Sus scrofa: one gene and its partners. The protein of the gene in region 5 binds, or shares a complex with, the protein of the main gene of each other region. Links are inferred from orthologs where the notes say so. Each region holds a gene or a part of one and is shown on either strand. Other genes may lie near its edges.

Evidence for each region.
Region 1: the proteins of RBL1 (region 5) and ARID4A are in contact, whole or in part, in a crystal structure (PDB 7SMC), measured with the Homo sapiens proteins. The link is inferred for Sus scrofa from reciprocal best matches to the Homo sapiens genes RBL1 and ARID4A. Residues at the interface, in NP_002886.2 of Homo sapiens: Tyr849, Ile850, Lys853, Val854, Thr860, Phe861, Gln862, Met865, Lys866, Arg869, Tyr879, Arg880, Asp929, Leu930, Ile931, Tyr934, Asn935, Val939, Ala946, Leu947; in NP_002883.3 of Homo sapiens: Leu957, Val958, Cys959, His960, Glu961, Val962, Asp963, Leu964, Asp965, Asp966, Leu967.
Region 2: the proteins of RBL1 (region 5) and TFDP1 are in contact, whole or in part, in a crystal structure (PDB 5TUV), measured with the Homo sapiens proteins. The link is inferred for Sus scrofa from reciprocal best matches to the Homo sapiens genes RBL1 and TFDP1. Residues at the interface, in NP_002886.2 of Homo sapiens: Tyr1004, Phe1006, Asn1007, Ser1011, Leu1014, Ile1017, Asn1018, Ile1021; in NP_009042.1 of Homo sapiens: Pro260, Phe261, Ile262, Thr290, Phe291, Glu292, Ile293, His294, Asp295, Ile297, Glu298.
Region 3: RBL1 (region 5) and MYBL1 share a complex: the UniProt entries of both Homo sapiens proteins name them as parts of the DREAM complex. The link is inferred for Sus scrofa from reciprocal best matches to the Homo sapiens genes RBL1 and MYBL1.
Region 4: RBL1 (region 5) and TFDP2 share a complex: the UniProt entries of both Homo sapiens proteins name them as parts of the DREAM complex. The link is inferred for Sus scrofa from reciprocal best matches to the Homo sapiens genes RBL1 and TFDP2.
Region 6: the proteins of RBL1 (region 5) and E2F5 are in contact, whole or in part, in a crystal structure (PDB 5TUV), measured with the Homo sapiens proteins. The link is inferred for Sus scrofa from reciprocal best matches to the Homo sapiens genes RBL1 and E2F5. Residues at the interface, in NP_002886.2 of Homo sapiens: Ser1000, Ala1001, Leu1002, Leu1003, Tyr1004, Lys1005, Phe1006, Asn1007, Ile1017, Met1020, Ile1021, Gly1024, Glu1025; in NP_001942.2 of Homo sapiens: Met162, Ile190, Ala192, Pro193, Ser194, Gly195, Thr196, Gln197, Leu198, Glu199, Val200, Pro201, Ile202, Pro203, Glu204, Met205, Tyr213, Leu217.
Region 7: RBL1 (region 5) and LIN52 share a complex: the UniProt entries of both Homo sapiens proteins name them as parts of the DREAM complex. The link is inferred for Sus scrofa from reciprocal best matches to the Homo sapiens genes RBL1 and LIN52.

The regions. Positions count from the first base shown.
Region 1 is NC_010443.5:187,440,740-187,444,871, forward strand, and holds part of ARID4A (AT-rich interactive domain-containing protein 4A), read left to right. Parts: coding exon 1-373; intron 374-638; coding exon 639-743; intron 744-4,132.
Region 2 is NC_010453.5:78,775,513-78,779,290, forward strand, and holds the end of TFDP1 (transcription factor Dp-1), read left to right. Parts: intron 1-1,658; coding exon 1,659-1,806; 3' UTR 1,807-2,800; downstream 2,801-3,778. UniProt on the Homo sapiens protein: Can stimulate E2F-dependent transcription.
Region 3 is NC_010446.5:68,150,746-68,154,877, reverse strand, and holds part of MYBL1 (myb-related protein A), read right to left. Parts: intron 1,822-4,132; coding exon 1,679-1,821; intron 1,296-1,678; coding exon 1,181-1,295; intron 430-1,180; coding exon 313-429; intron 225-312; coding exon 120-224; intron 1-119. UniProt on the Homo sapiens protein: Transcription factor that specifically recognizes the sequence 5'-YAAC[GT]G-3'.
Region 4 is NC_010455.5:82,766,563-82,770,694, reverse strand, and holds part of TFDP2 (transcription factor Dp-2), read left to right. Parts: intron 1-2,533; coding exon 2,534-2,685; intron 2,686-4,132. UniProt on the Homo sapiens protein: Can stimulate E2F-dependent transcription.
Region 5 is NC_010459.5:40,272,259-40,276,390, reverse strand, and holds part of RBL1 (retinoblastoma-like protein 1), read left to right. Parts: intron 1-1,265; coding exon 1,266-1,399; intron 1,400-4,132. UniProt on the Homo sapiens protein: Key regulator of entry into cell division. Directly involved in heterochromatin formation by maintaining overall chromatin structure and, in particular, that of constitutive heterochromatin by stabilizing histone methylation.
Region 6 is NC_010446.5:51,509,305-51,513,912, reverse strand, and holds the start of E2F5 (transcription factor E2F5), read left to right. Parts: upstream 1-1,295; 5' UTR 1,296-1,393; coding exon 1,394-1,621; intron 1,622-4,608.
Region 7 is NC_010449.5:97,391,640-97,395,771, reverse strand, and holds part of LIN52 (protein lin-52 homolog), read right to left. Parts: intron 2,962-4,132; coding exon 2,895-2,961; intron 645-2,894; coding exon 561-644; intron 1-560.

The DNA of each region.
Region 1 (4,132 bases), on a different chromosome or scaffold from region 5:
GATGCAATGCCTCTGATTGGGCCTGAAACCTTGGTTTGCCATGAAGTAGATTTGGATGATTTGGATGAAAAAGATAAGACCAGCATTGAGGACGTAGCAGTGGAAAGCTCTGAGTCTAACTCTCTTGTTTCTGTTCCGCCTGCCCTACCTCCTGTAGTACAGCATAACTTCTCAGTAGCTTCACCACTTACTCTCAGCCAAGATGAGTCTCGAAGTATAAAAAGTGAGAGTGACGTAACCATTGAAGTTGATAGTATTGCTGAAGAATCTCAAGAAGGTCTCTGTGAGAGGGAATCAGCCAATGGATTTGAAACCAGTGTTGCCTCTGGTACCTGTAGTATAATTGTTCAAGAAAGAGAGAGCAGGGAGAAGGGTAAGGACTTCCTAGGGAGAAAATCAGCCTTTATATTAAATTCAAAAATTAGTAAGCTAAGTGTTTTAGGAATTGTTGATCTGCTAAGTACTTTTCCTTCCTTCTACCCTCTCTCCCTCCCTCTCTTTCTTCCTCCCCTTCCCTCCCTCCCTCCCCGCTTTTTCAAAACATATACATGGAAATTCATGTCAAGCAGACAGGCGAATGAATATACTTGCTCTTGATTTTTTTTTCCCCCCTAATTCTCTCTTTCCTTTTATTTCAGGTCAGAAAAGACCAAGCGATGGAACTAGTGGATTGCTGGCAAAAAAGCAGAAGCGAACCCCAAAGCGAACAAATGCTGTAGCCAAAAATGAAAAGAATGGAGCAGGTTGGTGCTTTTCAGTATTGGCTTTAATATGGTATTAGTATTTTCAACAGTTTGTTGGCTTGGTCTTTAAAAAAATTTGTTTTTTATATTCTGAAAATAGCCATTTTTCCATTAGTTTTTAATCTGAAGGTGCTGGTCGCTTTTCTTTAGAGCTGGGATAGTTGCAGTTATTTTTTATAGCAGTTATTTTTAAAGCAGTTTAATATTAGAGGAATGTATTTAGGAATCTTGAATAAAAGAAAAATAACATTTGCTGTGGTAGTAAAAACATTAAGTTTATATTTCTGGATGGAATATTTTCCTTTAATCCAGAAAAACTAATTTCTAAATAATGTCACACTAACTTTAAAATATGGAAAAATTGGAGTTCCCATCATGGCACAGTGGAAATGAATCCAACTAGGAATCATGAGGTTGCGGGTTCGATCCCTGGCCTTGCTCAGTGGGTTAAGGATCCAGCATTGCCGTGAGCTATGGTGCAGGGTTGCAGACGTGGCTTGAATCCCAAGTTAGTGTGGCTGTGGTGTAGGCTGGCAGCTGTAGCCTGGGAACCTCCATATGCCATGAATGTCCCCCTGAAAAAGAAAAAAAAATAAAATAAAATATGGAAAAATAAAGAAGATTCTTACTGAAACAAACAAGAAAATTAGTAAATCAATACAAATAGATTACATGAAAAACAGATTTCTATACTATAAAGAATATAATTATGTTGTAGAATATAGTAGAAATAAACATGGTTGATTTTGACAAAGTAAAATTTTACTTCCAAAACATGCCTTCATATAAGTCTGAAAGGGAAATTCTAGATTATAGAAGATAAATATTCTAAGGAAGGAGCATATGATTTATTTAAGATAAAAAGCATTTCAAAGAAAAACCTTGGAGCCATATTTCAAGTCCTCAGCGGCCAGATATGGCTAGGGGCTGGACAGTCCAGGTCAACAGTATAGAAAAAGAGTGAAAAGAGAGATGAGACAGAAAGACAGCAAGACTTGCAAAGGGAAAATAAATAACTTTACAGTGGATGAGCCAGGCGGACACCATCTGAGTCAAATGAAGTGAACACCACCAGTAAGGGACAGAGCGAAATCGTGTACCACCTGACAGGATGCAACAAGAAGAACATAGTTGCACATCTGTAATATTCCTGTCAAAGATGCATAACCTGACTGTAATCATGAGGAACCAGCAACAAATTCAAACTGAAGGATATTCCATAAAATAACTTGACAAAATAAAATTGTCAAGGCCATGAAAGTTAAAGAAAGAGGAACTGTTCCAGACTGAAGGAGATTTATGAGGCATGATAACTAAATGCAGTAGTAATTCTCACCTGGATCCTGTTGCTCTAAAGGCATCAGGTCAAGTAGAGAAACTTATATGGAATCTGAGGAGTAGATGATGGTAATATGTCTGTTTTAATTTTCTGACTTTGACAGTTGTATTATAGTTCTTTAGGAATGTGGTGGTTTTAAAAACATATCCACAAATGTATTGATACTCTTTCCTTCAAGAGGCAAAGCCTAATTCCTTCCTCTTGAGTGTGGGCTGAATTTAGGGACTCATTTCTAACTAATAAAATAAAGCGGACGTGATGGAGTATGACTTCAGAGAATAGGTCATAAAAGGCACTGCAGATTCTTCTCTGCTCTCTGTTGGATCCCCTTGCTCTGGGGGAACTTAGCTGCCATATTGTGAGGACACTCAAGCAGTCCATGGAGAGGCCCACATGGTAAGCAGCTGAGCATGTCATGCCAGCAGGCAGCATGGATCTGAAGCCTCCTGACATGCACTAATGCCATCTGAGTGAGCCGTCCTGGAAGCATATCCTTCAGCTCCAGTCAAGCCTTCAGAGACCAGAGCCTTGGCTTAAAGCATGACTGCAACTTCACAAGAGTCCCTGAGCCAGACCACACAGCCATGCTATGCCCAGATTCCGACCCTCAGAAACTGTGTGCGATATTAGACATTTGTAGTTTTGAACTGCTAAGGTTTGGGCTAATGTCTAGATAACTAACACAAGGAGAATGTTCTTATTTGTAAGAAATAAACATTATAAATACCCAAATGTGGCGGGCAACTTACCCTCAAATGACAAGAAAACATTCTTTGGTGACTGTTCATCTTTTTTGTAAGTTTGAAGATTGTCTCAAAATAGCAAGTTGAAAAGATTAAAAAGGAAAAAAGAAAGGAGATGACTAGTTTCGTTTTCTGGAAAGAATCGTTGGCTTAACTAAGGCAGTAAAAGAAGGAATGAATTAAAGAGAATTGGGACATAAAATCACTAGGACTGAATTATTAGTTAGATTATGAGAAATTAGTTAACTGACACATGGCACACAGGAGAAGCAGCAGGTTGTTAGAAGAGTAGTTTAGGGAATGTTAAACATTTAGAGCTACCCAGTATTGGGAAAATAAGAGTCTGGAGCTTAGAAGAAAGTAAGAAGATAGTTTTTTCGAAGATAGTTGTCAACGGATTTACAAGATGATAAAGCTGCTGTGGGAGATTTGTAAAACGAGAAGAAAAAGGAACAAGTAGAATTATGTGGCATATCCCTTTAATTGGGCCAGGAAGAGTGGAGTAGAAGCTAATTAGAGATAAATGAAAATCAGTAAACAATAGTTGGTTTGAATAAGAAAGGCATTTCAAATGCAGTGGAATATTCAAGTAGGATTAAAATATACTCATTGAATTTGGTGAACAGAAAGTATCAGGGGCCCTAACAAGAGCAAGGAGACAAATGATTAGAAGACATGAAATCAGGATAACAAAGAATTTTTCTTTCGGGAAATTTGACCCTAAAGAGAAGGAAAGAGCCAGGTTGAAGGGGGTGGTTCACCTCTCCTTTCCTCCCCCTTTCCAGTGGGAAAGCTTGATTAAGCATGTTCATAGATTCTGGGAAAATAAGAAAAGGCAGAATGACATTGGGATATTCCAGAGGAGCTGGGAGTAAATGGTGTCAAGAGTACAGTTGAAGAAGGTCGTTTGCCCAGAATTACCAGTCTCTTTTTGAGGCCAAAAAGGGTGATAAGGACAAAGACGGCAGGGGAGGAGCTGGGAAACTGGTGTATAACTCTCAACTTGGCCTTTTTAGTATGAGGCAGAGTGTGCTGTTTAGAGTGGCTGAAGAGGGTGGAAGTAGGGTGTAGAATTTGGGAAAAAGGAGCTGAAACTGAGAGAAAAGTCTAATTTGTTATTAAGTGAAAACCAAGAGCATCTCTAAGTACAGGTTTGGGAGGAGAGATGTAAAGTTGCAAACAAATAATCTGGTCATGTTTCATTACACATCTGTTAAAAGTTGGAGGTTTATATATCAAGATCTTTCTTTGTGCTTTTTCATATATATAGCTTGAGTTGTTCCCCTTTGGGGCTGTTTTTATGTTTT
Region 2 (3,778 bases), on a different chromosome or scaffold from region 5:
CTTCGGCCCATTTTTGATCGTGTTTTTTGACGTTGGGCTACAGGAGGTGTTTGTATGTTTTAGAGATTAATTACTTCTCAGTTGCTTCGTTTGTGGATGTCTTCTGCCATTCCGTGGGATGTCTTTTCGCTTCGTTTATGGTGAGAAGAACATTCATAATGTTAGGTACTTGGAGGCGCTGCCTGCAGATCCTGTGGGGGCCACGGGCCTGGGTCCCGAGGGCAGGGGCTTAGCTGCGCGACCACACCCCAGTTTCCCACTGAGCGAGCTCTGGCAGGCGCAAGAGACTGCGTTTCCCGAGCATTTCTGTCCTGTCGTCTTTAACCAGGCTCACTGCGGACTAAGTCCCATCTGAGGAAGCAGTGATGTTTTTGTTTGTCTTTTAGGGCCGCACCTGCAGCATATGGAAGTTCCCAGGCTAGGGGTCCAATCGGAGCTGCAGCTGCCAGCCTCCACCACAGCCATAGCCACCCCAGATCTGGAACCTTGTCTGCGACCCTCACCACAGCTCAGGGCAACACTGGATCCTTAACCCACTGAGCGAGGCCAGGGATCAAACCTGCGTCCTCTTGGTTACCAGTCAGATTTGTTTCCACTGAGCCACGATGGGAACTCCTGGAAGCAGTGATGTTTAACCAGGCTCACTGCTGACTGACCAAGTCCCACCCGAGGAAGCAGGGAAGGCCTCATGCTGGTGGCAGGGAGGGTGCCCAGATGGCCCCGTGTCTGGAATCTGGACGGCCTCTGCCGAGTTTTACCCCTCGGTCGGCGCCCCTCAGCACCTGGCGTTTCTCGTTAGCATCCTTTTCCTTGCTGTGAGATACTGAGACGGGTGCCTGGCCCTGTGCCGTCAGAGCACGGGGAGGAAATGGCCCCAGTCCCCTCCAGCACGGTGGGCGCGGGCTGTGACTGCCCACGACAGACCCTTCCTCTTGGACCTGTGCTGGCTTGCTGGTGGCCACCGAAGCCGGGGGTCTCGGACCAGGACCCCGGCTCCTAAAACCTTCTCCGTTCTCAGCCGGGGTCTTGCCCAAGGGCCCTTGGCCTAGATGGTAGCACCCCCGCAGCTGGCTGCGACAACCTAAGATGATCACTGGTCCCAGATGAGGCTGCCACCAGCGCCCGTGGTCCCCGCCCAGGGCCAGCCCCGCCGGGCATCAGGCAGCACACTCCATGGAGCTGCGAGGACTGGGGTCCCTTGGAGCCCTTCCTGGAGGGGCAGGAGGCAGAGCATCTGACAGAGACCCTCCCATCCCGCTCGGCCCCCTGGGCTCAGTCGTTTCCACATGCTGGCACGTGGGCGTGTACACACAGGCTCAGGGGCACACGCTGCCCCCCGGGGCCCTTTCCTGCCCCCCGTCCCAGGGCTGGGGCTTGGCAAGGTCACAGACAGAGGCCTGGAAGGAGGACCTCAGGTCTCTGGGTTTGTGCACCGGGTTGGCTCTGATGTGCAATGAGCGGGGACAGGACCAAATCCTGGGGCCGAGGCTGCCCTGGTTTTGGTTGTGGCGCATCGAAGGGGCCGAGAAGGGGTGAAGCCGGCCACGGAGTCCTGGCTTCTGTGACGTCCCGTCTCTGTTGGCCTCCTTGACCAAACCCAAACCTCCCCGAAATGCTGGTGTCTGTGCTGCAGACGCTGACGCCTCCTGTCCTTGCAGCGACCTGGCCAACGGCGCGGATGGGACGCTGGCCACGAGCTCCAGCGGGTCACAGTACAGTGGCTCCAGGGTGGAGACGCCCGTGTCGTACGTCGGGGAGGATGACGAGGACGAGGACGACTTCAACGAGAACGAGGAGGAGGACTGAGCCGTGCCGCGGCGGGCGCCGCAGGCGCGTCTGGGGAAGAGGAGCTTTGCCTCGGCTGTTTCTGTCCTTCTGCTCCCCCAGCGGCCCGGGAGCTGCGGGTCCTGCGGCGCCGTCTCCGTGGGGTCCTGGCGAGCCGTCGCGGCCTCGCCCACCCCTTGAGAGTCTGTGTTTTCCTTTGCTGTTTTTAATTCAGAGTTGATTTCGCCCCTTGCTGAGTTTGCTGAGGAGCTAGTGCTCGTTGACGTCGACCAGGCCGAGACCCTCCTGCCCGGCCGGCCCGACGCAGCGCCCGGGCTGCGGGCCGCGCCGACGGCCAAGCTCTGGCCCTTGACGTTTGATTGCGACTTCGTTTCCCTTAAATTATATTGACTGTGTGACCCCGTCAGGTTTATACTTTGTTTTCACTCTGTGTTGCAGCGGTTTGCAGAGTTCTTTGTTTTTGTTTTGTTTTGTTTTGTTTTGTTTGGAAAAAAGTTTACTGCCATGCTGGTGCAGCTATAGAAACTGAAAGCTTGGAATGGTTTATTGCTTATGGTAAAATTTGCCTGATTTCTTACAGGCAGCATTTGGAAACTTTTTATTATATAGTTGTTTACATACTTATAAGTCTATCATTTAAAGACATGTACTGAAACAAATGTTGTATTTGTTTCGTAAGCATCTTCCTGTAATCTATTATAAAGTTGAAATTAAATATAGAGAATGTTTTAACAGTTTTTTAACTCGAAATTTGTCAATCATTTTTAATAGTTCTTTTTTTATAAAAAGAAAAAGGAATTTCAGGACAGGCAGTAGTCTCTTTTAAAATTTATTCACCAAGAACCATTAACTGCACAGTTGCTGTTAGCTGCCTGTTCTAAAATAATAGTCTTTTTATTGGAACACAAATAAACTTTTCTGTAATATTTTGTGGAATAAAGAGACTTTAATTGTTTGACTTGTTTAACTTGGCACTGTTAGTTTTTATTAATAAAACGCGCATGGGAATTTGAAACATGCTGTGTGTCCTGACTCAGGGTTACTGTCTAGAGCTCACTTGATCCGCTGGACGGGGGAGAGGTTCCAGGCCCCTCGGCCACCACAGCCCCTCTGCGGCCTGCGGCTCGTCCTGCTGCTGCCTGGGCGAGGCTGAGGAAGGAGGGCCTGGACACGCCAGCGGCGGGAGCCTTTGCTCCTTGCTTGTTTTTAGAAGAACAGCACTGACCGCTTTAACGTTTTAGTCCCCATAAACTGCGAGCTTCGCAAACGGGTCCCCTAAAAGCACCACGGGGAAGGTGGCCCTGGAGGCCCTCGCAGGTGATGCACCTGCGGTGTAAACCAGGCCAGGCCGCTGGGCCTTTCTGCTGGATCCCGAAAGTGGAGACATTCTTTGGGTTTGATTTTCGGAAAGGGGGAGGTTGTAAGGCGAGCTGGGGGTCAGTGTTTTCTTCAGGCACGCGGGTCAGTGGGTGAATGTTTCGGGGAACGGCTGGAGGCTGCAGCAGGCGGGTGTCCCCCAGCACGTGGCAGCGCTCCCCTTCTTCCGGGTGGGGTCCCGGGGGCTGTGGGGGTGGGGGAGGGCACAGCTGCACCTGCTTCCGCGGGTTCCCTGATCTCTCCACTGCGTCTGCTGGGTGGGTCCTGCCAAAATCACACTCGGGGCGGCGGGGGGTGGGTGGGGGGACCTAGGCCCCCGGCAAAGGGCTCTAGCGACATGTGACCGTGGGCCTGTTGTTGGGGGAGTCCCAGTGCTGGGGGGCACCTCAGGCAGGCGGAGGCCCTGATGCTCATCGCCCCTCTTTTCCTAGCAGGCAGCTGGTCCAGTCATATCAGCGAGTCACCCGTCAGGGCGGCTGGGCCACACCCCTGACCCCTGGCTTCCCGGGTGGTGTCCCCGGGTGGGGGGCTCTGACGTTTGGGGGATGTGCCTGTTTGTAAAGGTCACGTCGACTGGGACTTTAGGGCTGGGTCTCTGAGAACAAGGCCTGTGGCC
Region 3 (4,132 bases), on a different chromosome or scaffold from region 5:
ATTAATACTAAAAGGAACCTTCTATGAATCTCTAATGAACTAACCACACAATGAGTAAAACAGAAGAAGCACCAGTACTTAAAGCAACTGTCTTAATAAAAGAAAAATTCCTTACAAACCTGAACGTCTGAAATGTCTTCAGTTAATAGTTGAGTACCTGGTTCTTCTTTTTCCCAATTATCTAAGACTAGTGACTTTCTCACTTTCTTTACAGAAGCAGTATGCTAGAATGAATAATTTACAGAAGGAACATTATGGCAAGGTCACTTGAACAGGATAAGGCTTTCATTAACAATACTACTAAAAGATTACCTCTTGTTTGCAGCTTTTATAAGCAGGTTCATCTTCCTCTTTGAGGAATATGTCTGTTCCAGTTTCTTCTTTTAAAACTTCCCGAATATCTTCTTCCAAGAAGGCAAGTGGCTGTGACTAAAGTATTTTTAAAAGGGTTTTAAAAAAAGTCTTTTATAGCAATTCCTTTTTCTCCCCATATATAGAAACCCATCTTTTATACTTTTTCATTCTTGCCATAATTTTCTCCCAGTCCCTATAGATACATAAACTGAATATATTAACTAATTCATTCTATGGCAAAAATAATATTGCTCATTGGAAGCACTGAATGAAGTATGGTAATTTCTTCACATTTAGGGCACTAAACAAAAATCTTCCTTTGGGGAAACTACTATATCTCCTGCTTCAATCAGGAGCCTCAGAATTACACAGAAAAGAGACTCTTTCCCCAAGTATTTTTATATAAAAGTAGGACATATAGAACAAATTGGGACTACACTAGCTCTCCTTATTCTATTATTATATAGTGTGTAATTACCAGCTGACACATTTCTCTTACCACTAAATGCATGATCTACATAAGAGCAGTGATTACATCTTTTTGTGTATACATCTCTGCACACCTAGCCTTAAGTTCAGAGCTGGGACACAGGGTTCAAGAAGTGTGTATATCACACAACAGGTTAAGTAGGAATTCAAAACAAGCAAAGGTTTATTTGCAAGGAAAAGACTGACACAAATTAAAACTCAGAAATCAAGAGATAAAATTTTCTAAATCCAGTTCAGTGAACATCTTTTTAAAAACACTAAGAACTAAAGATAAAAATCAAAATGTATATTTTATTAAATATAGGAAAATTCTAATAAATAAAAGGAGCATACTTACCACAATTTTAAGAGGTCCATATTTTTTCTCCTGAGCAGCAAGTGCATTCTTAAAAGGAGTAGGAGTTCTTGGTGTGGTTCCCAATATAGATCTTCTAATAGTAGGTGTTCTAAACCTATGCAATCATTCAGATATTTGTGTTATCATTAAAATTTGATTTCAGATGAGTTAAGGAAGGCAAAAAGGCATACACCAAATTTTTCTTGCATATACACAATCTTTATATAAACATTCCAAGACTATTTTAAAGTATGCCTGCCTAAACTAATACTTATTCCAATCAATCATCCTAAAATAGAAAAAAGACTAATGTAGGAAAAAAAGTACTAAAAAAGTGGTCAAAGTTTTACACTACATTTAGCTGGGTTTTGGTCTCCTGGGGATAAAATTTAAGGTTATGATATGTTAAAAATTCTAAGTCTCATATGGACAAGAAATTGTATTTCTTGAAATTATGCTTCCCATTTTCTCTAACACGACTATTTAATATCTACTTACCCTACATTTTCCTTTTGATCTTTGGGGGTTGTTTCTTTATGAAGAGGCATTGTAATGAGAACTTTCTGCCCACAAATAGGAGTTGATGTGAATGAAGGATTTTCTATATTAATTTGTTCATTTCCAGGACATGTGTTGAAAAACTAAAAAGGGAAAAGAGTTTAAAGACAATTTCTAAAATTGTCAGAACCCTACAAAAATATTAAACTGATAATATTTCCAAATTACTTCTCCATTCCTTTTAGGAAAGGATCAACAATACCACATTTACATTCTACCCTATAGAAATTAAGCTCCATGAAAGCACAAATATTTGTTTTGTTCACCACTGCCTCCCCAACTCTTAGAAAAGTTTTAACACGTAGTAGGCATTCAAGAAAAAGCCATTCAACAGATATTCACAAGTTACAAAACAGGACAAGAAATTTTCCACACATTGTATCTTACCAAATAGGAATCTACAGAAACCATAAACAGCTGTAAGTTATGTACAACAGTGTAACTGAAAAAAACATGTTTTACTATTTTGTTAATAAATGATCTTAAGTGTTCCTTTCTATGAGAATATTTAGAACTCACAATATAATAATCTACTAATAAGAAATACAGTTGTCTGCCTATTTAGAACACAGCTCAGAACCTTTGAGGAACTAAAACTGGCATCACGGAGTCCATTTTCCAAATGATACAATTTATCCACTGGATCTTAACTTACATACAACTGTGAAATATTTATTGTTGTAGCCAACAGATTAGAAGCAGGGGTAGGAAAAAGTGGAAAGTGCTTTAAGGCTAGAGTGGATTCTAGCTTTACCACTTTTGGCTCCTAATACTGCAATATACTTAATCCTAAGATTAGCAATCAAACCCTCTTAAAACACTGCAGTGATGCCCATAAATCATAGGATAAAATCCAAACTCTTTGCTATGGGATATAAAGTCCTTATAATCATGCCTCACCTTCTCTGCCATTTTCCACCTTAGAATTTACTTTTCAACAAAAATTACAGGTGTGCAAAACTTCAAAAATAGAAAATTGCTAGTGTGCTCAAGCCCGGTTCACCTTCCTCAGAATACTTTGTAGATCTGAGGGTGAAGCTAGAGGACACACTACTTACATTACAGCCCATGTAAATGGCACTTTCTGAAGCACAAGGGGTGCAGTCTTCAGAGAACACAGTGTACTGACTGCCAGATCCTCATCTTACCAGCATCAAAATATACCTCCAATAGGAGTTCCTGGGGTGGCGCAGTGGAAGCGAATCTGACTAGTAACCATGAGGTTGCGGGTTCAATCCCTGACCTCGCTCAGTGGGTTAAGGATCCAGCATTGCCGAGAGCTATGATGTAGGTTGCAGACGTGGCTCTGATTCTGCGTTGCTGTGGCTGTGGTGTAGGCTGGTGGCAACAGCTCTGATTAGACCCCTAGCCTGGGAACCTCCATATGCTGAGGGTGCAGCCCTAAAAAGCAAAGCAAAGAAAAAAAAAAAACAAAATATACCTCCAATAATACCCCACCATCCTCCAAGTTTATCTCACCATTACTTTTTCTTCTTCTCCCATAAAAATTTTTAACCCCTGTCAAGACACTTTCAGCAAATATCAGCTTCATCTCTTTCTTACTAACTGACCTTGGACAAATTTCTTAACTTCTGAATTTCATTCTACCTACCTCCTAAGGTTTTTTGAAACAGGATTAACTGAGATACTATTAGAAAATTGTTCGGCACATAGCCTGAAACATAGTATAAAAGATATAGTTTGTCTCATTATAAACATCTGCTGCTCGGGGATAAAACTACAGGAGAGGGAGTTCCCACTGTGGCTCAGCAGGTTAAGAACTCAACACAGTGTCCATTAGGATGCAGGTTCGATCCCTGACCTTACTGAGTGGGTTAAGGATCCTGCATTGTTGTAAGCTGTGGTGTAGGTCACAGATTCAGATCTGGCATTGCTGTCCCTGTGATATAGGCCTGAGCTGCAGCTCCAATTCAACCCCTAGCCCAGGAACTTCCATATGCTGCAGGTACGACGACCTTAAAAAGAAAAAAAAAAAAAAAAAACACAAAAAAAAACTATGGGAGAAAGCAGGTAGCTTCTGACAAACCCAGATGATCTTCTTTCAAGAGACATGAAATTCTTACAGGGAACAGCTGTCTAAGGATATACACCTAATATCTGCTCAACAGTCAGGAAACTGGCTCAGCTTTGCCATAAGATTTTACCTTTCTGGGCCTGTTTCCTGATGAGTCCTATAAAGATGTGAAACTACATACATAAAACATCCCTTTTAGCTCTAAACATTGTTAAGATACCAAAATGCAACCACTACACTTTGAGACAGTTTTCTGATTTATCACAGCTCAACACTCTTATGTATACATTTAAACACATTATTCATTTTATCTGTTATCAAAGCAATGAACTACTAGTATAGATGTTAAATATCTAATC
Region 4 (4,132 bases), on a different chromosome or scaffold from region 5:
AACAAAAGACCAAAAGAAATTAGTTCAAAACAAATGGGGAGTGGTATTTCTTTTTTACTCTCAAAATAACATATGTGTTTTTACTGCTTTCTTCACTTGAAAAATCTTTGCTGTCAAGGGAACATAGTATCGAACAATGAATCATAAATACATAAGAACTGTTACTTATCCCTGTTTATATCCCCCCCCATGCCAACCCCCTCCCAATGGCACTAGGACCACAAAGCTAGGCAAAATATAGGGGCGTCTCTGAGATGCTTTTTCTAGAAGAGAGCAGAAGTATTCAAACATACAATTCATTTCCCCAGTTTTACAGGTTCAGCATATTTTTTCTCCATATTAAGTGAAGGAAGTATTGAATATGAAATAGTCTTAGTTCATTAGCAGCAGAAAATAACACATAGGACCCAAGTAATGTTTGGTAATGAATGGTATCGACAGTGATGGTTTTGGGTAGTGACTTTTGGACACACTTTTAGGCCTAGAATATACTGGTGTCCCTTCTGTTTCGTGCATTTTCAAAAAGTAAATGTTTACTTTCCAGGGAGATAGCACCCAGCCATTTAAAAATAATAATTGTAACCAAACTTCAGTAAGGCCCAGAACCTAAAATAAACCACCTTAGAATAAGGCTATTGAAATGTAGAAAATAAACTCATCACTGCTGGGGGAGAAGATGGAGCAAGCCGAAGAAAGATTCCAACTTTAGTTTTTAAAACTAGTATCCGTTCTATGAGCAGATCAAAGACTTCAGTTGCCTAAGGTTTTTGTAACTGTGGGTTCTGCCTTATTTAAAAAGCGGTAGTAGGGACCAGGTCATGGAGATGTAGTTCCCTCGTCCCCTGAGACCTCGCCCTGGAAATGACCTTGCATCTTCTTTTGGTCTGACAGTGGGCCCCAGGGACTGGGGGCTCGCACCCTGCAGGCTGGCCCTACATCTGCCCTCTGCAGAGGGTCCAGGGGGAATTCACTGCCTACCCTTCCTGCCTTGTGGACAGTAGCTCCTCTTAAGCTAACTGGGCCATAGTTTCATGTTGATGGCAGAGCCATAGAGAGAAAGAAATTTCTGTGTGCAAGTCCATTTTCAAGCCTGTGCATTATTTCTGCCAACATCCCATTGGCCAAAGCAAATTACAAATCAAATGGTAGGGATGTAGGAGCAAAGAGAGAACTGTGACTTTTTTTGCCATCTATTACAATGATTACATTGAAATGTCGTTTTGTGCCAGAGGAAGCTATGGCCTCAAAATCCTGACAATGGTCTTGTAGGCAGACGGTGAACTGCCCCAGACAAGCATTCCACACAGTTGCTTGGGGGAGCAGTTCCAAATGATCTGCGACTACAGTGGCATCGTTAGAAGGAAGGGTCTGGCCTCTGAGGTGACTTTTGGGGCGGACAGTGCCCTCTTGGATGAAGGTTTTAGATGAGGGTTTCATCATGTGCTGGTTGGGTGGAACCAAGTCTGCCTTGAAAGTTTTACCTTGTGGTCCCCAAATGGAAAACAGTGGGGGGGCTGTGGTAGGAATTCCTTTTGTGGCTCAGGGGGTTAAGAACCTGACTAGTACCCATGAGGGTGCAGGTTCACTTCTTGGCCCTACTTAGTGGATTAAGGATCCTGCATTGCCACAACTTGCATGTAAGTCGAAGATGCAGCTCAGGTTTGATGTGGCTGGGGCATACGCTGGCAGCTGCAGCTCTGATTCGACCCCTAGCCTGGGAACTTCCATATGCTGCGGGTGCAGCCCTAGTAAGAAAAAGGGGAGGCGGGGGTCACTTTCTATGCCTTATGAGTAATGGTTATAACTAAAAGTAGCGAGATTCAGTGTAAAGATTCAGGCCTTGGTATATCTTAGAATCAGTTTCCTCATCTGGAAGATGTCAGGTGGGCAGAGGTTGGGCCAGGTTCCAGACTCTGCCCTCAGGATGCTTAGAAGTTCTGTGAAGGATCTCAGGTGAGGGCAGACCTGTTGGGGCTTAGGGCTCAGGACTCAGTCCCATGCATCCAGCCAGAGCAATGCTGCTTTCATCTGTTATATAAATAGTGGCTGTCCCAGAAGATGTCATTTGAAGAAAGGGTTCTGTGGCTTTATAAAATTTGCATATTTCTGGGCTAGACAATCTAAGAAGTGTATTTCATGCTAAGCTCTCAGGAGTCTGTGTTAGATAAATGAAAACAAGTCCACTTGGTGTCACTTTCTCTGTATTACTCACTCTATGAGTTGTGGGTGCACTGGCTTCTCCCAGATCTGTAAGATCCTGCTTTAGTGGGTGGTGGAAGCCATGGGCCCTATTATTTACATTAGGATACGTTAGACACCATTTAAGAGTATATTTTTCCCTTGAAATTTATTGAGTTGGATCGTTCTAATCTTTCTTCTTAAATATTTAATTTTAATTAACCCAGAGGTGAAAGGCCTCTTTAAATGCTCTCATTTTAAACTATATTTTAAGCGTATTCATCATAATCCATTTAGTTCCACCTCCTTTATCCACATGAAATGACTAAATGTATGTTTTTATTGATCATCACAGCAAATTGCTTTCAAAAACCTGGTACAGAGAAATCGGCAAAATGAACAGCAGAACCAGGGCCCTCCAGCTCTGAACTCCACCATCCAGCTGCCGTTTATAATCATCAACACAAGCAGAAAAACAGTCATAGATTGCAGCATCTCCAGTGACAAGTAAGTGGGGAACGAGCAGCAGAGTGCAGGGCTCACCTTCTAACGTTATGCCGAACAATTGCAAAATTAAGAGGGTTGTGCTCCAAGGCTGACTTCCTCAAGGCATATGAAACGGCTTTGCAGACATGGGGTGCCGTCACCTGCTAGTGCTTGCTCTGTCATTCACCCTCCGCAACCCCCTCTCTTGGGCCTGGCCCTGTGCTGCCTTTGTCATATGCATGGTGGTGCCCATGTATGTACATGTAGGTGGTGTAACTCTGGGCAGGTAAAGTAGAGCATCACTCAGGTAGGTTCGCTGGTGATTCACTGTCGTAGTTGATGCTGAGAATGGTTTAGATCAATGCTGCACTAAAGCAGTTGTTTTCCTTTGCTGTGTCAGAGTTGAGTGTGCTTCTCTTTATGATGAACGAACAGATGTGAAAATGCTAGATGTGTTCTCTGCTTTCTTTCTTATTTATCTCATCCTGTGAAGTCTGTACCTTTTGACCATCTTCATTCATTTCACTCACCCCCCATGTCTGGCAGGTTACCAGTCTGTTCTCTGCATCTGTGAGTTTGGTTTTGTTTTTTTTGTTTGTTTGTTTGTTTGTTTTTTTTGGTCTTTTCTAGGGCCACTCCCGTGGCACATGGAGGTTCCCAGGCTAGGGGTCTAATCGGAGCTGTAGCTGCCAGCCTATGCCAGAGCCACAGCAACGCGGGATCCGAGCCACGTCTGCAACCTACACCACAGCTCACGGCAACGCCAGATCTTTTAACCCACTGAGCAAAGGCAGGGATCGAACCCACAACCTCATGGTTCCTAGTCGGATTCGTTAACCACTGCGCCACGATGGGAACTCCTGAGTTTGGTTTTGGTTTTAGTTTTTGTTTTTTTAAGATTCCACTTATGAGATCGTACACTATTTGTTTTTCTCTTTTTGTCTCACTTAGCGTAATACTCTCAAGGGGCATCCATGTTGTTGCAAATGGCAGGATTTCCTTCTTTTTTTATGGCTGAATGACCCATTGTGTGTATACCCCACATTTTCTTTATCCATTCATCTGATGGTGGACACAGATTGTTTCCATGCCTCGGCTGTTGGAAATGATGCTGTAGGCAGTAAACATGGGAATGCAGGTTATCTGCTCAGGATTGTGATTTCCTTCAGATACATACCCAGAGGTGGGATTGCTGGGTCATTTTAATTTTTTGAGGAACCTCCATACTGTTTTCCCGAGCAGTTGGACCAGTTTACATTCCCACCAGTATGATTTTCATTTTAACTAAGATTGCTGCTACTGTTTATCATACTAGGTAAGCAGTAGCAGTTTTCAAATTACAGAATTTGTAATTTATTTTACTCTTCATGAAGACAGTAGTGGTCTTCAGGCTGTGACCATTATCGAGTTAGTTCAGGGCATAGGGTGCGGAGTGAGACAGATCCAAGTATGGATTGTGGCTCCCCCA
Region 5 (4,132 bases):
CGAACCCGCAACCTCATGGTTCTTAGTCGGATTCGTTAACCACTGAGCCACGACGGGAACTCCAGGAAATCTTTTTAGTAGTCATTTTATTCTTTTAGCGTCTGGTCTCTTTTTTTTTGGCCGTAGCATGTAGCAGCTCGATGTGGGATCTTAGTTCCCAGACCAGGAGTTGAACCTGGGCCACAGCAGTGAAAGCAGTAACCATCAGGGAACTCCCTAGAGTCTGATCTTAAAGAATCTGCATAACAGTATTATGTTGTGCTATGAGATTTATGTCTAGTTCTTAATCCTTATTTCATGTAAAGCTTAACAATGAGGTCATAAAGTCTAGCTTGGATATCTCAACTCTAAAGCAGAGAATTAGGAGTTTTCTTGTGACCAGTGAATTGAGGATCCAGTGTTGTCACTGCAGCAGGCTTGGGTTGTTGCTGTGGCATGGTTCACTCCCTGGCCTAGGAATTTCCACATGCCTCGGGCACAACCAAAAAATAAATAAATAAAAATAAAGCAGAGAATTAGATGTTAAATTCCCAAATGTCATCTTTTTTTTGTAACATTGTAAATTGAAATATCTGCTAAGATAGCCATACTATTTCTTTTCTTTCTTTTTTTTGTCTTTTTAGGGCTGCACCCACAGCATATGGAAGTTCCCAGGCTAGGGATCGAATCGGAGCTGCAGCCACAGCAGCACCCCATCCAAGCTGAATCTTGGAACTACATCACAGCTTGCAGCAAAGCCAGATCCTTAACTCACTGAGTGAGGCCATGGATCTAACCCACATCCTCATGGTTACTAGTTGGGTTTGTTTCCCCTGAGCCACATGTTCTTTTATGTGTATTTAATTTCTTTATGTGTAATTCCCTTACGAACTTTCTGCTCTTCCTTTTTCTGCCAAACGGATTAAAATGGTAGAAAGGAACTTCAGCATCATCAAGGCCATGACTGGTGTTATAAAATCGAGAAAGCTAATGCTGAGAAATTTTAAGAGAACTCTTTCAATAATGTCAGATTTGGGATATAGGTGAGAGATCTTTCTTTCGATTAGTAATGAGTTTAGTGTGTTATGTAGAACATAGTGTAAGGAGTTTTATACCCATTACTGCAGTTAACTAAACATTTTGATCTTGGGCGAATATCTTCAGTTCTCTGGCCTGTTAATACAGGATGAAAATTAGACCAAATAATTCTAAGATCTCTCTTGGTTCTAGAAGTCAGGCATTTTAACATAATATATGCATTTTACTGTTTGTCTTTTGCCTGTCAGGGAGAAGTTATACACTGGTTGGCATGTTCATTATATGTTGCATGCCGCAAAAGCATTATTCCCACGGTTGGAAAGGGTATCATGGAAGGAAATTGTGTTTCACTTACCAGAATACTACGTTCAGCTAAATTAAGGTAAAGCACTTTGACTTTTTAAATACTGCTTTATAAGTCCTAGATTTAATTTCTCTTTATTTTAAATTATTTAACTTCATTCCATTCTAAGCTTATCATATGGATATCTTTTCCCAGTTCTCATATTCTTCCTCGGCCTTTCTTCCTCATCCTCAAATTTATTTATTTATTTTGCTTTTTAGGGCCAGACCCGTGGCTAATGAAGGTTCCCAGGCTAGGGGTCAAATTGGAGTTACAGATGCCAGCCTATGCCACAGGAGGATTCGTTTCTGCTGCACCACAATGAAAACTCCTCTTCCTCAAATTCTAACTTCAGAGACCTCTCTTCTAAATCTTTTTTGGAGTTCCCGTCGTGGCTCAGTGGTTAACGAATCCGACTAGGAACCCTGAGGTTGTGGGTTGGATCCCTGGCCTTGCTCAGTGGGTTAAGGATCTGGTGTTGCTGTGAGCTGTGGTGTAGGTCGCAGACGCAGCTTGGATCTGGCATTTCTGTGGCTGGGTGTAGGCCAGCGGCTACAGCTCCAATTAGACCCCTAGCCTGGGAACCTCCATATGCCTCAGGAGTGGCCCCAGAAAAGACAAAAAAAATCTTTTTTATCTGTAATTCTTTCATTAATACTTTAAATTTGAGAATAATTTAAGCTTCCAGAAAAGTTGCAAAAATAAAACTACAAAGAATATCCATATATATATGCTTGACCGGGATTCACCTTTTATTGACATTTTACCTTACTTGCTAAATCATTTGATCTTTTTCTCTTAAATAGTATTTTTCCTCAACTATTTCAATTTAAGTAGTGTCTACTATAGCCTTTTATCCATAAATATTTCAGCGTGTGTTTCCTTAAATAACTATAGTACAGTTATCAACTTCAACAAAGTTAACATTGATGTAATAATATATAATCCACCATCTCTATTCCAGTTTTTTTAGTTGATCCAGTATCTTTTTTTTTTTTTGCTGCATCTGCAGTATATGGAAGTTTCTGGGCCAGGCATCAAATTTGAGCCACAGCAGTGACAAAGACAAATCCTTAACTACTGGGCTACCAGGGAATTCCTCCAATAATATTCTTTTTTTTTTTTTTTTTTTTTTTTTTGTCTTTTTGCCTTTTCTAGGGCTGCTCCTGCGGCATATGAAGGTTCGCAGGCTAGGGGTCTAATCAGAGCTGTAGCCGTCGGCCTACACCACAGCCACAACAACGTGGGATCTGAGCCACGTCTGCAACCTACACCACAGCTCACGGCAACACTGGATCTTTAACCCACTGAGCAAGGCCAGGGACCGAACCCGCAACCTCATGGTTCTTAGTCGGATTTGTTAACCACTGAGCAATGACGGGAACTCCCAGTAATATTCTTTTTCTTCCCCTTTGTTTGCTGTACCCGTGGTTTCCTGGGCCAGGAATCGAGTCCAAGCCACATCTGTGACCTGTGCCACAACTGCAGCCTGCCAGGGATCAAACTGGCAACACCACAGAGATAAACCAGATCATTAACCCACCTCCCTACAGCGAGAACTCCCAGTAACTTTTTTTTTTTTTTTTTTTTTTGCGTTTTAGGGCCTCACTCATGGCATATGGAAGTTCCCAGACTAGGGGTAGAATCAGAGCTGCAGCTGCCAGCCTATGCCACAACCACAGCAACTTAGGATCTGAGCTGCAGCTGCGACCTCCATTACAGCTCATGGCAATACCAGATCCTTAAGCCACTGAGTGATACCAGGGATCAAACCCTTGTCTTCATGGATACTAGTCAGGTTTGTTTCCACTGTGACACAACGGGAGCTCCTAGTAACATTCTTTATAGGATTTTTTTTTTTTTTTGCCTTTTGCCTTTTCTTGAGCCACTCCTGCGGCATATGGAGGTTCCCAGGCTATGTGTCTAATCAGAGCTGTAGCCGCCGGCCTATGCCAGAACCACAGCAATTCGAGATCCAAGCCAAATCTGCGACCCACACCACAGCTCACAGCAACGCCAGATCCTTAACCCACTGAGCAAGGCCAGGGATCGAACTGCGACCTCATGGTTCCTAGTCGGATTTGTTAACCACTGCACCATGACGGGAACTCCAGGATTTTTTTTTTTTTCCTTAAAAATTAAAAAAAAAAAAAAATTCCATTCTAGTATCAGGTAATGCATTCACTTACTGTGTCTCTTCAGTCTTCTTTAATGAGGAACATTTCCACAGCCTTTATCTTTTATGACGTTGATATTTTTGAGGAGTATAGTTCACAACCACCCTGCCCCCGCTTTTTAATAGATTGTTCCTCGCTTTGGATTTATTTCATGTTTCTTTATGCTTAGATGCAAGTTTTACATTCCCAGATGGAAAACTGCATAAGTGCTTTTGTGTCCTTAGTATTCATATCTTAGAGGTACATGATATCCTTCTACCTCTCATTGTTAATGAGATGTTCTACCTCTGATGTTAATTTTGATCATCTGCTGAAGATGTTATCCTGTTTCTCTAGTGTATGGTTAATATTTATCCCTTGCAAATAGTAAGCAATTGGTGGGTCTTAGCTATAGCTTTTACTTGCTCTAGTATTCTTATGGAACTATTTGAATACAAAACAGAAATGGAGAGATCTAAATTTGGAAAGTCACTAATGTTCAGCTTCCCAGAACAATTTTGGTTTCTACAAATTGAAAAATAATTAAGTGTAAACAATTTTCCAAACTTTAGGAGTTTCTGTGGAATTCCTGCTGTGGTGCAACAGGATTGCTGCA
Region 6 (4,608 bases), on a different chromosome or scaffold from region 5:
CATTGCTTAGCAGGTTAAAGGGTCTGGCGCTGCTGTGAGCTGTGGCATAGGTCACAGTCCAAGCTTGGATCCAGTGTTGCTGTGTCATAGGCTGGCAGCTGCAGCTCCAATTAGACCCCTAGCTTGGGAACTTCCATATGCCCCTGGTGAAGAGGAGAAAAAAAAAAAAAAAGTCTATCTGGTTATTCATAAAGTTCTGTCCTATGAATTGGAAACAAATATTAAACTTAAATGGTGTGTCCAATTTTACTCTCTAATGTTACTGTTTTACTTCATTCCAGTGACCCTTTTTTGCTAGTTTACTGTTATTTTAAATTAGAAATATGTCTTGCATGAGACTTTCTTGATGAATTATCATCATATGGAATTTTCATTCCCCTAATATTTATTGGGCATCTACTATATTAAAAGTGTTGCGTGTGATACCAATTTATTTAGAATTTCTCCCAACCCTCAAGAGTGTGTAATCGAATGAGAAAAAAACTTTTACTCAGATCTGCGTTATCTCATTTCTCATTTTGATAGTTTGGGCTATCAAAAAACATAAAAATCTTACGACTGCCTAATATTCTAAATAATACTACATAGCTTGGTTGCAATACGGTATTAAGAACAATTTTAAATGAAGGAAATCTGGAGTCCAGTGGCGAGTCTTTGGGCGAGTCACAGCCTCTCCCTCTACACCTCAGTACCTCTACCTATACTGCTCCATTATTCTGCTTTTCCCATATCCCGAATCTAAAAAGATGATCGGAATAAAACCTTGCACTTGATCAGAGGCATTGAAATACTTGCAAAGGATTCTAAAGTTGGAAAGGACCAAGACAGCAGAAATCCCCAATGAAGGTATTCAGCGGACGGCTAGTCCCGTGAGGTTGTAGAGATCCAGCAGGTCAGAAATCGATGGCCACCAAGCAGAGTGTTTTCGTTTCATTTTTTTCCTCCAAGCGTTGTAGCGGGAGGTCGCTGGTCCTGGGGGTGGCACTCCAACAGCAGAGAGGCGAGCTGAAACCCACTCCTCGACGCTCCCTTCTGCTCTCCCCTCCTTCCTACAGAAAAATGCGTTTCCAAGCAACGGCGGGCCGCGGCGTCACTTCCTGCCATTTAAACTCAGGTCCCCACCCCTCGCCGCCCCTTCTCCTCGCTTCCACTCCCCCTCCCCTCAGTCGTGGGCTTCCTTCTTGGGTCCAGGGCTCGGGGAGGGGGCGGAGGCCCGGCAAGCCGAGCGGCCCAGAGGCCGGTGGGCCCCGCGCACCTGTTGTTTGCAAGCGCCCGCAACCCTTCGTCCCGCCCTCGGCCGGCGGCGGCTGCAGGGGCGGCGATAGAGGTGGCCCGGAGCAGACCCGGCAGGTGGCCGAGCGCGAGGTCCGCACCACTGCGGTGCGGGGACGCGATGGCGGCGGCCGAGCCCGCAAGCTCTGGGCAGCCGGCACCGGAGGGCCAAGGGCAGGGCCAGCGGCCGCAGCCGCCGCCGTCCCAGGCGCAGCCCCCACCCCCGCAGCAGCCACTCGGGGGCGGCGGGGGCGGCAGCAGCAGGCACGAGAAGAGCCTGGGGCTGCTTACCACCAAGTTCGTGTCGCTGCTGCAGGAGGCCAAGGACGGCGTCCTGGATCTCAAAGCGGTGAGCGTAGGAGGCGGGGAGGGGGCGGACTTCAGATCCTGCGGCCGGGGGAGAAGCCCATCCCCTTGCCGCGTGGGTCGGGGGACGTGGTGTGAACGCTCCGCGCGGGGATCTCACGACCTGAGCGCAGTGGCCACGTGGCCTGCGCCCAGGCCCTGGACTTCGGGATGGGGGGGAGGGACGAGGGACCAGGATGGCCCGGACCAGCCGCTTAACCAATGGGGCCCGGCGCCGCGCCGGGCTCTCGACAAAGAGCCCAGGAGCTCCAGCGCGCGCGCGTGGCTTCTGTCTCGGGGCGCGGAGACCCGAGGACGACTGAGTGCCCTTGCTGCTCCGCGTCCACCTGTGGCAGAGGCACAGAGGGTATCTGGGCGCTTTGCCCAGGACACCGTCGGGATTGATTTTTTCCTGTTGGGCATTGTTGGTTTTAATAGGCGATTCTAGCTTAGACCGTGATCAAGTTGTTTAAACAAGCCAGCAAATAAGCAAACAAAACCCAGTTTTGCCACCTCTCCTGGATGAAACAAAATAAAGTGAACTCTTCATAGCCCTCCCTGTTAAAATAATGGTAGTAATTAAAAGAAAAAACTTCTTCCTTGTATATTTCTTTTTATCATTTTGGTGACTAAGAGGGGTATTTGATTTGTGACTTAGAAGGATCTGATATAGATTTCTAAAAATGAGATTTGCCGTCACACGGAAAGGGGATGTTTTATAACTTTGATGCAAGGAGAAGCGCTCAGCAAACTCCTATTTCATGAGATCTTTTACTGCAGTTGAGTTCGGAATTTTCAAACCACAACATACATCAAAAGCCGTTCCGTTAAATAAAATGACCTAACCGTTCCAGTCAGGGTTTGGAAGGATTCCATAGCGCTGAGAAACAAGAGATGTGATCCCTTGAATTAAAATTCAACCAGCGCACCATGTTTAAGTAAAAACTAAAGCTTTAAAAACAAACAAAAATTACTAATGAATCAGTAATTACTGTAGACGCCTCCTAGGCACTACCCCTAAATCTGGGGTTAACACTGAGAATTGGTCCCAGCACCTATGGAAGTGCCAGGACCACCGTACCTAGCTTGAGAGGATGACTGCAATCCTCAAGGCTATGCTTAGGGTAACAGAAGCACCGTCTGAGTAGGACAGCATCTTCTAGTACTCCTTGACCTGAGACTAAGACTCACAGAGGCCAATTTGATGTCCTTTGCTAGAGGTTCTCATCTGAGGACAGTCTGGGAGGTGAGGTATGTCTTTGAATGTCCTCTCCTTTCCCTGGGTGTAGTAAGTGTTGCGTAAATGACTCCTGAATTACCGAAATTGTTCTACTTCATACAAATAAGGCACGATGCACATATTTTGCATTTGGGGAAAAGTTTCTACTATTTTTTTTGAAGTATTACTCCTGAAATTTTCCTGCACTTTTAGAAATACTTGTTTTCTTTTTTTCCCCACTCCCTCTCCTTCCCTCTCTCCCTTAAAGTGCTTTATGACATGTATGTATTTAAATTGTGAACTAAAATGGATTTTTGTTTAAAGAATTTCATAGGAAGTCATGAGGTCATCTTTGAAAGACAGGGATGTTTCCAAACCTACCTTGCAAACTACTATTTGAAAATCTAGGGAGTTCCCATCGTAGATCAGGGGTTAGGAGATCCGACTAGTTTCCATGAGGTCAAGGGTTGGATCCCTGGCCTTGCTCAGTGGATTAATTAGGTTAAGGATCCAGTGTTGATGTGAGCTGTGGTGTAGGTGGCAGATGCAGCTTGGATCCCATGTTGCTGTGGCTCTGGGGTAGGCCGGTGGCTGCAGTTCCTATTTGTACCCCTAACCTGGGAACCTCCATATGCTGCAGATGCATAAAAGATAAAAAGACCAAAAAAAAAAAAAAAAAAGGCTAAAATTCAGGGAGTTCCCTTGTGGTTCAGTGGGTTCAAGATCTGGTGTTGTTGCTGCTGAGGCTTGGGTCACTGCTGTAGCGTGGGTTTGACCCCTGCCCCGGGAACTTCTACATGCTATGGGTGCAACCAAAAAAAAAAAAAAAAAAAGCCTGTGACTCCAATAAAGAATCAGGGAAGTTTGGGGTTTTCCAGATGCAACTGAATTCTGAGGGGCTGACTTTTGAGAGCTTTTCTCACAGCTTGCCTTGGAATATGATGGAAATTTGTCCTTGCTTTCCCCTAAATCTTTGGCTTCCTCCTGTTTCATCTGTGGCCAGATTTTGCTGTCCAGAAGTTTACAGAGGCAGTGAGTGGGAAGTAAAGTTTAATATTTCCTGATAACATTGTTTCATTCATCCTGGAATTTTCCTAAAAGTTCAGAGGTTTCTGCAGTAATATTAGGTCTCATTGTATTAATGATTTTTTTACTTCAGTCCAGTAAATGAGACCAGTTTTTCATTCTTTTTCACATATATACAAATATATATTTCATTTATTTACATATGTTTGTACATAATAAAATCTTATATTGCAAAAATCTTATACTGAAATCTTTCCAATGATGTTTTCTTATTGTGCACCATAGTAAAAGACCATTAAGACTTTTGACAATACATGTTGAAGATGGACGGACTGATCATTGTAAAGTTTCTCTAATTTGAAATGATAAAATCACATTTTTTCTTAAATTCTTACTTAGGGGTGGTGTATTTCAGCCTAAGTTATTGATACTTTTGAGTTACACACTTGATACTTTTTAAGAAGAGGTTAATGAAACATTTTTATGGATATCAGGAATATAAAAAATTATATTAGTCATCACATCTGAATATCTTTGATGTCTGTAAAATATCCAGACCACATAGGTGATATTTCCTTTCTAACTTGAGACATATACTACTGGAGAATAAGAACATAATACTGTATCTTAGTCATTGCATTTCTTTTCTTACAATTTAACTAATTGAAGGCATAGCCTAACAAAGCAAACATATTCTAATAAAGCTGTTCTAGTATAATTTAACAATTAGGAGCCAATAGACATAC
Region 7 (4,132 bases), on a different chromosome or scaffold from region 5:
TGGAACAGTCAGGGTCCTCCCCAAGACCTTTCTTTGCCATGTGCAGAAAAGATGTTCTTTCTTTTAGGATTATGAGATTTAAAGACATAAGAGCTGGTGTTCCTGCTGGTTACCTTCCCTGGTGCTAGATCAAAGAATAATATTAATGCATGAGTGAAGCAGAGCTTTAAGATAGCAAACTAAAACTAAGAATGAGGGCATATTCCAAAGACTTCACTAAGAGTCATGAATCTAGATATACTCAAAGCTATTTCTACCCCTAGAATTTTGATTTATGTGAATAAAATCCTTCTTTTGCTTAAGATTGTTTGATTTGACATTCTATCGCTTAAAACTAAGAGTTACCAATATGCTTTCACTATACAAAGAACAATAACTTGTAATCTAGTAAACTCTGTAATTACTTTGACACTCTACTATAAAAGGCACACTTTAGATTATAGTGGCTTCTTACCTTGAGAACATCTAATAAAGATACTAAAGTTACTTTCTGAATTACACCAGAGCTCATCATTAAATATACAACATGCAACCCTGAATAAATGGATCTGGGTACTCACACTCATCCAGCCCCAACTGATAGGCTAGGTTCTGAAGGCCTCGTACCTTCTCCATCAAATTAGCTGTGGTGAGGCTCCCCAGTTCTGAAACAGAATCATTTATTTCAATACCATTTCTTTCCACTGCTTCTAGTAACAACGCATGCGGGTTGCAAATCCTTGTTATAAAAATTTCAAGCTTAATTCCTATGAAATAAGTAGAAAATGGATCCATATCTCTTCTCAACAAATCACATCACCACTACCCCCAGCACAGACGTGCACACACACAAAAACGCACAAATCAAATCAGTGAATTTTTCCACCACTGCAAAATGCCTCAGATAAGCTTACCCACTTAATGAGAAGAGAATTAACGTAAACACAACAACAAATTACATGTTTTATCCTGAGGATCTTTTTGTAACATTCATTTTGCGTATCATACAAAATGAATATATGGTTAAAATTTGAAAACTTGTGATCTGACATAGCATTGAGACAGCAAACAGACAGATCTCTGTCTCACAAAAAGGACACTATCTCAGCTGTCATTTATAAGTCCACATTACTCCAAGTGACAATAAAACACTTATTCTTTCCTATTTCTCCAGGTTTAGAAAACAGGCTAAATATTAATCCAAATTTTACCTTCAAATCAAATTCCCATAAAAAAATTTTTAATTTTACCAGATAAAAAGACAGTAAACTTAAAATTTTATCTTCCCAGATTTTCATTTAAACAGAACTTAATTCCTTTTAAGTTTAGGACATACATGAACTTGCATGAAACAGAATGCTCTGATCCCTTATCAAACTTTAAAGCTTCCTTAGAAAATACATGTTGATGGAATATTATATAAATGTCTGTTTGGAACATTAGAACAATGAACCCAAGATGCCCTTGAGACTTAATTTTTCCAGATGGAGGAAGGGCTCTGCTTTTAAGCATTTCATGCAGAACAATGAATTATTTCTGAAGTCAAATAAAGGTGTTATTTTCTCTCACTCATCATGCCATACTTATTATCTATATCTGGCATAAGTAGACTTTGTGAATCTGTTCAGCTGCTTAAATAGCTTAAGAACCCCAGATTTTTTACCTCAATTTCATTCTATTACTTCACAACCATCATGAATCTTATCACTACGAGGATGATAAAAAAAATTAAGTAAAGTAGAGCAAAATCAAGGAAAATTAATGTTTTTTAATTTAAATTTCTACTTTGTGATTTAGTCCCAAGCCATTTATCAAACAATGATATTCACTACTTACAGTATTCTCTATGGGAGAAATTGATGAGATAGAAAGAACTAAAAGACAGGTCTTAACCCACTAAGGGGTTGTCAATTAATAGTACTCATAACAATATATGACAGCAAATCCTAAATAAGGCACTTGCATTATAACAGTAAGAGACTAGCTTTAAAAGATCCGAGTTTAGGAGTTCCCATCGTGGTTCAGTGGTTAACGAATCCGACTAGGAACCATGAGGTTGCAGGTTCTACCCTGGCCTCACTCAGAGCGTTAAGGATCCGGCGTTGCCGTAAGCTGTGGTATAGGCTGCAGACGCGGCTCAGATCTGGCACTGCTGTGGCTCTGGCGGAGGCCGGCGGCTACAGCTCTGATTAGACCCCTAGCCTGGGAACTTCCATATGCTGCTGGTGCGGCCCTGGAAAACACAAAGAGACCAAAAAAAAAAAAAGTTCAGAGTTTAAATTTTAACTCTTTCTATAATAAAGCTTGGTTAACTTCTGAACCTTAGACATCATATCTAACTCACAGGGTCTTTATGAGAATTAAATAAGAAATTTTATGTGAGAGCTTATAGTTAACGTTAATTTTTTCTTTTTTTTTTTCTTTTTAGGGCCACACTCGAGGCATATGGAGGTTCCCAGGCTAGGGTTGAATCGGAGCTGCAGCTGCAGGCCTCTGCCACAGCAACGCAGGATCCGATATGAATCTGTGATCTACACCACAGCTCACAGCAATGCCAGATCCTTAACACACTGAGCGAGGCTGGGGATCGAACCCACAACTTCATGGTTCCTAGTTGGATTTGTTTCCACTGAGCCAAGATGGGAACTCCAACGCTAAGTATTATACAAAATAAAATTAACATTAAAGGAATTTAGCAGCAGAAAAAATCAGTATGGTTGGGTCTTGAATTATTTCTACACATGGAAAAGTAGAGAAAGGCATTTAGATATGAAGAACCATGAATAAGGATGGTTAAATAGGCAATTTGAAGCCAAAAATACTTGTAAGGGAATCGTGAAAGAAAAACTGGAAAGGTGGTTTGCACAGGAGCATAAAAGTCAGGTTGAAGGTTAGAGGTCACCAGCTTTGCTTACCTTTCAACATGTCAATGTCATCGCGTTCTATTTCAGCCATCCATTTGGGTGGGGAGCTAGTAATGGGCTGTCAGAAAATAAGAATACATCTATTCAGACATGTGCAATGTATAGAGATCCTACTTTTCCTTCTTTTTTTTTTTTTTGCTTTTTAGGGCCGTACCCTGGTATGTGGAAGTCCCAGGCTAGGGGTCAGATCAGAGCTACAGCTGCCAGCCTACACCAGAGCAACACAGGATCCAACCTACATCACAGCTCGTGGCAACACCGGATCCTTAATCCAATGAGCAAGGCCAGGGATTGAACCTGCATTTTCACGGATAATAGTCGGATTCATTTCCACTGCACCACGACGGAAACTCTCTACTCTTCTTTCTTGTAAGAAAAGGAGGTTGTCACACAGTCCTCAGGTTGTTTGAAAATACCAGCAAGTTATAATTTCAAAGAACCAGATTTCTCCAGATTCAGCTCTGACCTACAAATAGAACCCTTACAAAATAATACTACTGATCTTTAAAAGCTGGTTTTAAAGTAATGATCTTGAAAGATTTAGGTCTGAATACTGTTACTAGTGTACGAAAAATAGGTAAGTAGAGCCATGAAAGAAATTATTTGAGGAGTTCCCGTCGTGGCTCAGTGGTTAACAAATCCGACTAGGAACCATGAGGTTGCAGGTTCCATCCCTGGCCTTGCTCAGTGGGTTAAGGATCCAGCGTTGCCCTGAGCTGTGCTATAGGTCACAGACGCAGCTCGGATCCCTCGTTGCCGTGGCTCTGGCGGAGGCCGGCGGCTACAGCTCTGATTGGACCCCTAGCCTGGGAACCCCTATATGCCATGGGAGCGGCCCAAGAAATGGCAAAAAGACAACAACAAAAAAAAGTTTCTCTGCCAGTCAGTGCTTTTAACTTTAGGTACAAATGCCTCTAAATATGGTATAATGAGCATAGACGCTAGTAAGTAGACTAAGAGGTTCAAAGCCTGGTTTTGCCATTTGTAGCCTATAATCTTGAGTAACCTACTTAACCTCTTTATGTCTATTTCCTTCTCTGTAAAATAGGGATAATAATAGTACCTATAGCTCATACGGTTTTGTGAAGATTAAATAATGTATGTAAAGTATATAGCTTATAGTACACATTATGTATATGCTGACTAATATTATAATCATCATATTTTCCTGCTTTCCATATTTTCCAAGAATATACAGGAGGTATTCTAGGAATATACATCTAGCATAA